Linked DNA regions of Sus scrofa. The protein of the gene in region 1 interacts with the protein of each later gene in a pairwise test. Links are inferred from orthologs where the notes say so. Each region holds a gene or a part of one and is shown in the gene's direction. Other genes may lie near its edges.

Evidence for each region.
Region 2: the proteins of POC5 (region 1) and CETN2 interact in binary tests that used the Homo sapiens proteins (3 or more experiments, as listed by UniProt). The link is inferred for Sus scrofa from reciprocal best matches to the Homo sapiens genes POC5 and CETN2.

Annotation. Positions count from the first base shown.
Region 1 is NC_010444.4:84,709,751-84,714,675, reverse strand, and holds part of POC5 (centrosomal protein POC5), read left to right. Parts: intron 1-756; coding exon 757-962; intron 963-2,632; coding exon 2,633-2,809; intron 2,810-4,925. UniProt on the Homo sapiens protein: Essential for the assembly of the distal half of centrioles, required for centriole elongation. Acts as a negative regulator of centriole elongation.
Region 2 is NC_010461.5:123,902,598-123,908,200, reverse strand, and holds the start of CETN2 (centrin-2), read left to right. Parts: upstream 1-2,154; 5' UTR 2,155-2,208; coding exon 2,209-2,307; intron 2,308-3,212; coding exon 3,213-3,371; intron 3,372-3,626; coding exon 3,627-3,755; intron 3,756-4,792; coding exon 4,793-4,930; intron 4,931-5,349; coding exon 5,350-5,439; 3' UTR 5,440-5,603. UniProt on the Homo sapiens protein: Plays a fundamental role in microtubule organizing center structure and function. Required for centriole duplication and correct spindle formation. Has a role in regulating cytokinesis and genome stability via cooperation with CALM1 and CCP110.

The DNA of each region.
Region 1 (4,925 bases):
GAGATACATGAGAAATTATGATGAATAGTCTCTAATTCCAGTGTACATGTGTGATAAAATAGCAACTTTTCTATTTTTGTGTTTTTAAAGATAGATGCCAGTTCTCTTTCTGGCTCTGGCTCTCATTCCTACCTCCCATGTTCATGGGCAGAGGGTGGAAGTGCATCTATTTCTCATCTATATGTTGAAGGCTAACAGAGTGCCTTACAACTGTCTAATGAACTAAATTTTTAGTCTCTTATAGTGTTGAATGTTAGTAGAGTTAAAACCCACCCCATTGTTTTGCATAAAGTAATGACCTATGTACAGTTAGTCTGACCTTGGTCCGTTACTTAACCCTTTCTAAACCTCAGTTTCCTCATCAGCGAAATGGAGGTAATAATACCTTTTTCTTAGAGTAGTGTGTGTTATGAGAGCTAATCTTATAGTGTTTTTACTACAGGAACATAGAAAGCACTTAGTAACTGTTGATATGATGATGTGGATGATAACACTTTGAACTCAGGCTACACCTAGATATACAAACCATCTTTATTTGGAGACAGGTCATTTGTGGATGGGGGAGGGAGGTGAGTTTTAAATCTGTGACAACACTAAAGTTTAAAATAACCAGATTAAGGACACTGAAAGGCCATTTCTCCATGTTTTCCTCAGCCTCCATAGATAACTGACATCTTCTAGCCTTCCAATATAACTTCTTGCCAATTTGGGTTATTTTCATTTTAGCTGACCGTTCCAACTTTTGTTTTATTCTAGGCTCATCACCAGTGTCATCCCCCAGGAAGCCGCCTCACCCGGTCATGGATTTTTTCAGTACAAATCTTTTAGTTGACTCTTCCTCACCAGGGTCTCATTCTAGTCCTATAGATGCCCATGAAATTGTTGTGAGCGATTTTCTTATTTCTGATGAAAACCTTCAAAAGATGGAAAACGTGCTTGATCTTTGGAGTTCAGGGCTTAAGGTATTACACTTGTTTGATTGTAATCTAATATGTAGTGTAGCAGTTTTGCTCTTGATTCCACTATTTAGTCTGTTTTTCTTTGAATTAAAAAGCTTTTAAAAAAACAAAAAATTCAGTCCAGTGTATTAAATCTGTGCTTCTCAGTTGTTACTGTCCAAGTGAATCACCTGGTGATTCTGTTAAACTGCAGCTTCTTATTCAGCTGGCCTTGGCCATGGCCTAAGATGATGCATTTTTAACAAGCCCCCAGGTGATGGTTCAGAAACCATACTTTAAAGAGCAGGGTTTTAAATAGTTGCTGGAACAGGTCTGCATGTTCCACTGACCTTCTCAGATGTTTCCAAAGGCTCGGCCTATGTGTGACTGAGAGAGGCACCTGTGAACCTCTCCCACATTGCAGCTCTGACTAAGGGGAAGTGCAGACCCAATTTTAGCAACATATATTCTCTTTATAGCCACTCTTCTAGCAACCACAGAATATAACCAATAAATCAATAAAAACTGATTTTTATTTTGGCGATTTTAGTAGCCTCTAAATAAAACAAAGTATTACAGAAATGGCGGTTTTTTTGCTATTTAAAAAATGGTAGAGAAAACAACAGTTTTTCTGAAACATAGTTTGAGAAAACTGAGTATTCGCACACAGGGAGAAATTATGGTCAAAAGAGTTTTGTGGTATTTACATATATTTCTCCATTATATGGAACCTTAAATTCTAGAAGTACTTTTTTTAGTATAATTTCTTTTTTTTTTGCTTTTTTTTTTTTTTGCTTTTTAGGGCCTTCCCCGCGGCACATGGAGGTTCCCAGGCTGGGGTTGAATCGGAGCTACAGGAGCCAGCCTATACCACAGCCACAGCAACACAGGATCCGAGCTGGGTCTGCAGCCTACACCGTAGCTCATGGCAACACCGGATCCTTATCCCACTGAGTGAGGCCAGGGATTGAACCCGCAATCTCATGGTTCCTAGTCGGATTTGTTTCTGCTGCGCTACAACAGGAACTCCCAATCTTTTAGTACAATTTCTATTTGTTTTCCCCCATGGAACAGGTTTCATATTTCTAGTCCTGGTGTAAGTTATTGGAATTGTGTACCACCAACCATTTAAAAATTATCCTGTGTTCAAGTTAACCACATACTGTTATCTAGTTTTTTGATAGCACAGTTATTTGGCCCTTTTACTTAGGCCAGTCAGTAGGGTGAAAAGGGATCAAACTTAGCAACTTGTAAGATGGCCATTGTGATAAATGATTTGGAGGAAGAAAGTATCAACTCCAATAGTTTCTGCTCTTCTCCATCTAGATGACGCCCTAGTCCTGCATTTCTTTGTTTTCTGATCCACCTTAAGATGGGCATTTAAGTCTTTGAATAAACGAAGGACATGTGTATTAATGAATGAGACCTAAATTTTTTAAATGACACTGAGATTTTAGGACCGTTTTTACAAAGTAACTTAAAATAGGCAAAAAATCATGTCCTTAGTATGGTGCATGAACTAAGAAGAGCTGTGACTATTGAATTTGTAGATGTTTTCATTATTGGATTTTTAAAATAGCTCTGATGTTGAGTGCATGTTTTGATTTTTAAAAAATATTTCTTAACTTCAGTGTCATTTAAAGAAGCAGTATTATGGAACAAGCAACTTAATTGTCGGTACATTTATTTTTCAGACAAACATCATATCTGAACTAAGTAAATGGAGACTTAATTTTATTGACTGGCACCGAATGGAAATGAAAAAAGAGAAAGAAAAACATGCAGCAGAGGTGAAACAACTGTGCAACCAGATCAACAGCTTGAAGGAGCTGCAGAAAGCCTATGAAGTTTCCATTGGGAGAAAAGATGAGGTCTTCTTTTTCATAACTGCTTTTTCACTGATTCAGTAAATGTCTTGCTAGGTAGTAAACACCAGGAACTGATTGTTTAGATCATACATGATACAAAGAGTAGATCATTTTAGAAACTGGTGGACCAATAGATATATAGAAATAAGATTTATTCTTTATATTAAATATGCCAGGCTCATGTCACTTTATTGAGTGCATGCTCGATGCGGGAACACTAGTTTTTTCTTTTCAATCTTCCTTCCTTCCTTTTCTTCCAACAGTACCACATTTTTTTTTCTTTTGTCTTTTTTGAGCTGCACCCGAGGCACATGGAGGTTCCCAGGCTAGGGGTCGAATTGGAGGTGTAGCTGCTGGCCTACACCGCAGCCACAGCAATGCCAGATCCAAGCCGCATCTGTGACCTACACCACAGCTCATGGCAATGTCAGATCCTTAACCCACCGAACGAGGCCAGGGATCAAACCCACATCCTCATGGATACTAGTTAGGTTTGTTAACCACTGAACCATGATGGGAACTCCAGCATTACCTACATTTTAAACCATCCTTTTAGAGGGGCATAAATATCCCACATTCTATCTATACTAAGTCTTTATTCATTCATGATGTCCTTTATTTCAGCATTTATTTCATTTTCTGTTAGCCTCTTAAGAATTTGAGAGTAGTTTCAAGTCTGTGCTATTTTTGTGCCCCCGGAGAGCATCTTGAAGAAAGCAGATGGGCAACAAATCTGTAGCTCCCCCAGGAGGATGATAGCTTTCAGAAAAGAGGGACCCACAGCAGACACCTCAGCTCCTTGTCTGCAGTTGTAGCCCTCATTGTGTTAATGAACTAGATAAGATTATGGAGTTTTTAATATCCTTTGTGGGGGGCAATGTAAAATTGAATATTTTACACAGTTTGCTTTTGTGAAACAATAGAAACTAATGTCATTCATTTTCTCTATTGCTTTCAAAACCCTGACCTAAGGTTTTTAAATATTTTAAATTTAATGTTTTTATTTCAAAATATCCCACAAAAAAAAAGTGTACATACAAGTTCAATTTTTGAAAACAAAGTGAACCAGCCATGTGCTACCACACAGCTTAAGAAATAGAATATTACTGGTGTTTTAGAATTTTTGCCCTTTTCCACTTTTGAAAATTATTTAAAGAACTAGAATAAATGTCTCTCAATAAATATGCCTAATTTACTAAATCTCTTTTTAATATGACCATTTTTAGATATATATTTTAGTTACTCAGTTCTTTATAAAAAAGAATATTATCTTAGGATTTAAAAGTCTTCATAGATTTTTTTTTTTAAAGAACAGAATAATATAACTGAAAAAGTACATCAAAGTGTAACTATTAACTATTTGCTTTTTTGAGTTTGTTGAATCTAGAAAATCATTAAACAGTTACTGAGAAATTTCTATTCTAAGATACTAAAGGCATTTAGGGACTAAAAAGATATTTGAAAACTGGTCTCTGCCCTTGAGTTTAGTGAATAAGAACATTGTGTATATGTACAAAACTCTAGAATGTATGGTTGTTTTTCTTAAATGCTGATGATTATATTTTCATATACGTAACCTTTTTTTCTTTTTTCTTTTTTCTTTTTTTTTTTTTTTTTTTTTTTTTGTCTTTTCAGGGCCGCGCCCACAGCATATGGAGGTTCCCAGGCTAGGGCTCTAATCAGAGCTGTAGCCGCTGGCCTACACCACAGCCACAGCAATGTGGGATCCAGGCCACGTCTGTGACCTACACCACAGCTCATGGCAACGCCAGATCCTTAACCCACTGAGCGAAGCCAGGGATCAAACCCAAAATCTCATGGTTCCTAGTTGAATTTGTTTCCGCTGCGCCACGATGGGAACTCCCTTTTCTCTTTTTTAATTTAAATATTTTATTATTGTATAGTTGATTTACAGTATTGTGCCAATTTCTGCTGTATAGCCAAGTGACTAGTCATACATATATATACACAATCCCTTTCTTATACTCCATCATGATCTGTCCCAAGAGATTGGATGTAGTTCCCTGTGCTATACAGCAGAATCTCATTGCTTATCCCTTCTAAATGTAGCAGTTTGTATCTACAAACACCAAACTCCCCATCCATCCCACTTCTTCCC
Region 2 (5,603 bases), on another chromosome or scaffold:
ATCTCCGATTGGACCCCTAGCCTGAGAACTTCCGTATGCTGTGGGTGCGGCTCTAAAAAGAAAAAAAAATTCTGAAAGCATCCAGTATGAAGAAAATACCGTATAAAGAAAATACAGTACGAAGAAAATACTCATTCAACAGATAAGAAACCGAGGATCAGAGAGGTCAAAGGACTTGGCCCAAAGTCACTTGTGGTCGCTCCTTCTACTCTGTCGCCCTGCAGACTCGCTGGGAAGTAGGGTGTAGAAGGACACAAAGAGAGAAGGACTAGTAGGGGCAAAACTACTAGTGCAGGAGGCTCAGATGCCAGGCTAAGTCTGGACTTTGGTCTGTAGTCATGGGGAACCTCTGATGAGAACTGCTCAATAGGAAGATTACCCTGATGAAGCAGCGTGGACTAGATAGGGGAGAAGCGGGGAACAGGGGGGCTACTCACCAGTTGTTCAACCAAGATTTAGTGAGGACCTAATATGTACCCTTCACTGATCAAGGTCCTGGAATGCCAGCAGTGAACAAAACAAAGATGCCTGCACCCATATGGCTTCCCTTCTAGTGGATGGGCAAAGAAGAACAAAATAAATAAGGATACAGTTATAAGTACTAGGGGATAAAAACAGAGAAAGGTGTAGGGTTTGGGTGTTCTGGGAGATGCAGGGCTAAATAGGATGCTTAGGGTGGCTCACTGAGAAGGTGACAGTGGAGCAAAGACCTGGAAGAAGGAAACAAGTAGAACAAACAGGCAGAAGAGATGGTTGGAACAAAAGTTTGAAGGCAGGAGTGTGTCCGTGCATTTGAGTCCATCAAGGAAGCTAGTGTCCTGGGGCTGGAGCAGCCAGGGGAGAGGAGGAAGCATGTTGGGATGGGCCTTGCAGAGCATGGTGAGAGCTCTGGCTTGTACCCACAGGGGGGCTGCTGCTGAAGGCGTGAAGTGGGACAGGAGCAACAGAGGTGGAAAAGAGAAAAGAAACACCCTTTAAGGAGGAAGCTGACAGAAAGTGGAGGCTAGTTAGTGGGGCCAGGGCAGGAAGAGTCAAATAGGACCAAAAGGTTTTGGACTCGGCTTGTGCTCAAAGAGGAAGAGGGTAAAGGGCAGAAGTTCGGCAAACATTTTCGCTTAATGAATGTCAATAAATCTCAGGCTTTCTTCAGCCTGAGAAACTTATGCTCTGTCCCCTGCTTCCCAAAATGCTGTGCCAATGCCCAGAGGTGAAGCAGGTAAGGGCTGAGAGGCAAGAAGTGCCCTTACACTGGGCTGGCTAAGGAAGGCAGACCTTGGACTTCCAGGGCCACTGTTCCAGCTCCCTTTCATCTGTTACCGTGGCACACGCCCCCTTGTAATTCTCTGAGCAAGCCTCACCTTTCCAAAACGGCTCTGTGACTTTGCTCATGAAGTGTCCCCACCTGGAATACTCCTCACTATCCGCCTTGAGTGTTTGGTTGTCAAAATGAGTATATTTTGATGATCTGTCCCCTTTATGCTCACTCAAATCTCCTTCACTCCCTTCAAAGGCCGTTCCTAGGCCCCCAGCTCATCTTCCCGAGCTGCTTTTAGCCAGGTGAGAACTAAAGTGATCCTATCTTGTTATCTATTTGGGGTGGGACGGACACGCCCAAAGAAAGAGCCTCAGGTGGATGAATTCAGCTTCTAAGTCCCAGACGTCCGAATTTCTGTGATAACGCCCGGCCTCTGCCTTTCCTTCTCCGTCTCAGTTGCCCCGTAAATACATCCTCTGCTCCAACACGCAAGGTCACGGTCTTCTCTGGCCCCTCTGACCCTAACTCAGTCTTAGTCCAGACCAGAAAGTCCCCGACCGGGTGAGGGCTTGTTACCTTTTCGAGCCCCGCGAAAGGCCCCACCCAATTCCTTGCCTTTCCAGTCCTATCGCCAACCCAAGAGCGAGGTCGCAACCCTTACCTGTTGGTAGGTGCCTCCCTGGCCGGCCTCAGCGCATCGGTAGCCTACAGCCTCAGAGCTCCAGGCGCCAGCAACCACCTGTTTCTCCCCACCCTTATGAGGCTACTATCAGCCGAGGCGCCTCCACCAAAGGGATTGGTGCTGGCTCGGCCAATCAGCGCTCGCGGTGTAATCCTGCCCAATAAGGCCAGGCCGCGCCACAATGCCCTGCGCCCTGCGTCAGGCCTCCGTCGGGTTAGTCCCACCCACTCCAGCACTGTGCCAATGGGGAGCTGCAGTCATCTGTCCTCCAATGGGGTGCAAGGCCGCGCGCAGGGGGCGGTGGGAAGGGCGCCGAGTCGGTGTGTACGTCCGTTGCCGTAACAACGGGAAGCGGAGTCCATCGGCGATGGTGAGTGCTTGTTACCCTTTCGAACCCTGTGTCCAGAAGCTGAGCCCTTCACAGGCCTTGGCCTGGCCCCGCCGTCTCTCCTGCGCGGTTCTCGGCTTTGGCGCACTCTTTCCTCTGAGCGCTTCCCGGAAGGGTAGGGTAGAGATCCTGGCCGCCCTGCTGGGCCTGCGATTAGCCGCTGCGTCCCATTCAAGCCACAGCTGGCCCCTATCCGTCCTTCGGGCTCCCCTGGCTCCTTCGGTGACCACCTCTGGTCAAAACAGACTCGGGCTCTTCGCACACCCCGACCACTTCCAGACTCTGGCCTCCTGGCCGCCTCTACCAAAGTTTCTACCCAGAGCCTAGGGGAAGTTTATTGTGTTTGATTGTTAATGTGCATTTAAAATGTTAAATATTGGGACTTCGGAAACGCTTTGACCTTCTTGGGGAAGGCTCAGATGTGCCGAGGGGATTGAGTTTTATTATTCGATATTGACAGAATATACATCTTAACTTAGTATTTGGCCAAATTAGAAGTAATCAGAAAATCTTATAACTTAGAGCGAAGCAGAATAGCGTTCTAAGGACATTTTTAGATTTAGGGTCCCAAATTCAGAGAGAGCTGATTATCTGTACATTTATCCAGAGTCAGCTCCTTGGCCAGCTCTCTTTTTAGATGATTTCAAATAAGAGATATCCAAAAGAACAAAGGATCTCCTTCTAGAAACAGTAGTAAAGAAGAGGGAGGGATAGAGGTGCAGAGAAAGAGTATTTGCTCTTTTCACTAAACGCTGTTATTTCTCCTGTTAGTTTTGGAATTCGTTGGTATAAACTATTTTAAAAGTAGATAGGATTGTAACATATTTATGTAAAATATGTACCCTATTACATAATACCGTGCTTCTCTGTTTGTGAAACATATAAAGGCCTCTAACTTTAAGAAGACAAACGTGGCATCTGCTGCCCAGCGAAAAAGGATGAGCCCTAAACCAGAGCTTACTGAAGAGCAGAAACAGGAAATCCGAGAAGCTTTTGATCTCTTTGATGCTGATGGAACTGGGACAATAGATGTTAAAGAACTTAAGGCAAGCCCTGTACATTCCTGCTCTGCTGCCTTGACTTTTCTCTGCCTCTTTCTCTTCTGTGCTGTTTTTCTGTCTTTATTTACCTCAAGTATTATTAAACAAAATTGAGTGCAAATATCAATTTGCTTAATGTTATAGTGTTTCCTAATTATTTTAACATGATTGTGTCAGATACTGGCTTAATGCTCTCAATGCTGTCATTTTTTGCCCCTGGGTTTAGATGTACATATTGAGATGATCCTGTTTTCATTGCAGGTGGCAATGAGGGCACTGGGCTTTGAACCCAAGAAAGAAGAGATCAAGAAAATGATAAGTGAAATCGATAAGGAAGGGACAGGAAAAATGAACTTCAGTGACTTTTTAACTGTGATGACTCAGAAAATGGTAGGTTAGCTAAGATGATGGGTGTATTTTCCACCAATAATGGTGGACAGATTTGAGTCTAGATATGAAAGTGTCTTTTCACCCATTGGTCCCTTTCTCTTTCATTGGCCTCCTGGCTCCTCCTCAGTGTGGCTCATGTACATTCTACTGGCCCGTGGAAAAGTAGCTCCATCAGTGCTTCAGCTGTGCTTCCCAAGGCACAGGTCTCTTCCCACTCTAATAATCCTGTTGCTTTGAAATCATCTAATCACACCCATATTTTTCTTCAGGGACTAAGTTAAGAGTTCAGGAAGCTTTTCCTCTTTTCCTCTGTCAGAGTACCTGGGATTCTAGTAACTCTTGGTGCTCTCATAAGTGAAATCGCCTTCTCTTTCCTCCCTGCTCCCCTCTGCCCCCAAGAGGATCCCAGCTTAAGCAGTGGAATTTCCTCTAAACTTAATCCCATCATCTGCTGCTGTATTTTATTTATTTATTTATTTTTTTGTCTTTTGTTGTTGTTGTTGTTGTTGTTGCTATTTCTTGGGCCGCTCCCGCGGCATATGGAGGTTCCCAGGCTAGGGGTTGAATCGGAGCTGTAGCCACCGGCCTACACCAGAGCCACAGCAACGTGGCATCCGAGCCGCGTCTGCAACCTACACCACAGCTCACGGCAACGCCGGATCGTTAACCCACTGAGCAAGGGCAGGGACCGAACCCGCAACCTCATGGTTCCTAGTCGGATTCGTTAACCACTGCGCCACGACGGGAACTCCTGCTGCTGTATTTTAAAAAGCAGTCTACTTTTCTCTTCCATTTGTATAGAAAATGTTTTAAGTGCAAGCCTTTATATTTCCTTCTTAGCCTCTGGGATTGTACCAATTTCATGTTTGTCCCCTCTCTCTACGCTGGTTGATTTTTGATCTTCTGTGACCTAGCACCAATGTCATGAGGCCATGTGGTGCTGTTGTGGCAGGGCAGAGGGGATGGTGCTAGGGTTGTGGGACACAGGTAATTATGAGTCTCTTTACTCATGTGTTTTTTATGTTCTACTTGTTAAGTCTGAGAAGGATACCAAAGAAGAAATCCTGAAAGCTTTCAAGCTCTTCGATGACGATGAAACTGGGAAGATATCGTTCAAGAATCTAAAACGCGTGGCCAAGGAGTTGGGCGAGAACCTCACTGACGAGGAGCTGCAGGTGTGTGATGTGTCAGCCTGGAGCCCTGTGTGGCTTTTCCGTGTTATGTTTTCTCTAATGCTTTGGAGGAAAACTAGCATTCTCTTGTCCCTCTAGTGACCATTTAATTTCTTTTTCAATAGTGTGGCAAACGTATGGGCGCTGCTGCCTCACGGATAGTTTTACTTACTATTTTAGGTTTTAGGCGTCTCCCTGGTCAAGATGATCTTCGAGCTCAGGTGATACATGTGTGGCAAAGGATGGCTGGGTTTTCAAATAACTTTTCGGGAGGCAAGCTATTATAAGAAGCAGCATCTTGTAGTGTGTGTGTGTGTGCGGGGGACTACAATTGTCTATTCAGGTAGCATTATAAAAGCCTATTATTTAGTCACATTTTTGTTTCATTTATGAATTCATCTAACTTGACTCCTGTTGTGCAGGAAATGATTGATGAAGCTGATCGCGATGGGGACGGAGAAGTCAATGAGCAAGAGTTCCTGCGCATCATGAAGAAGACCAGTCTTTATTAAGCTCGGTCTCTTTCCTACCGCAAGCACCTGGAACTAGACTGAGTGCCTGCCATTGTGTGAAACCTGGTTTTTGAGAACATAAATTACTTCTCCCCCACTGACCTCTCTGTCTAACAACTTCAGTGACAGCGTCGAATCCATTTTAGACTTTCGAAAGTATTCTT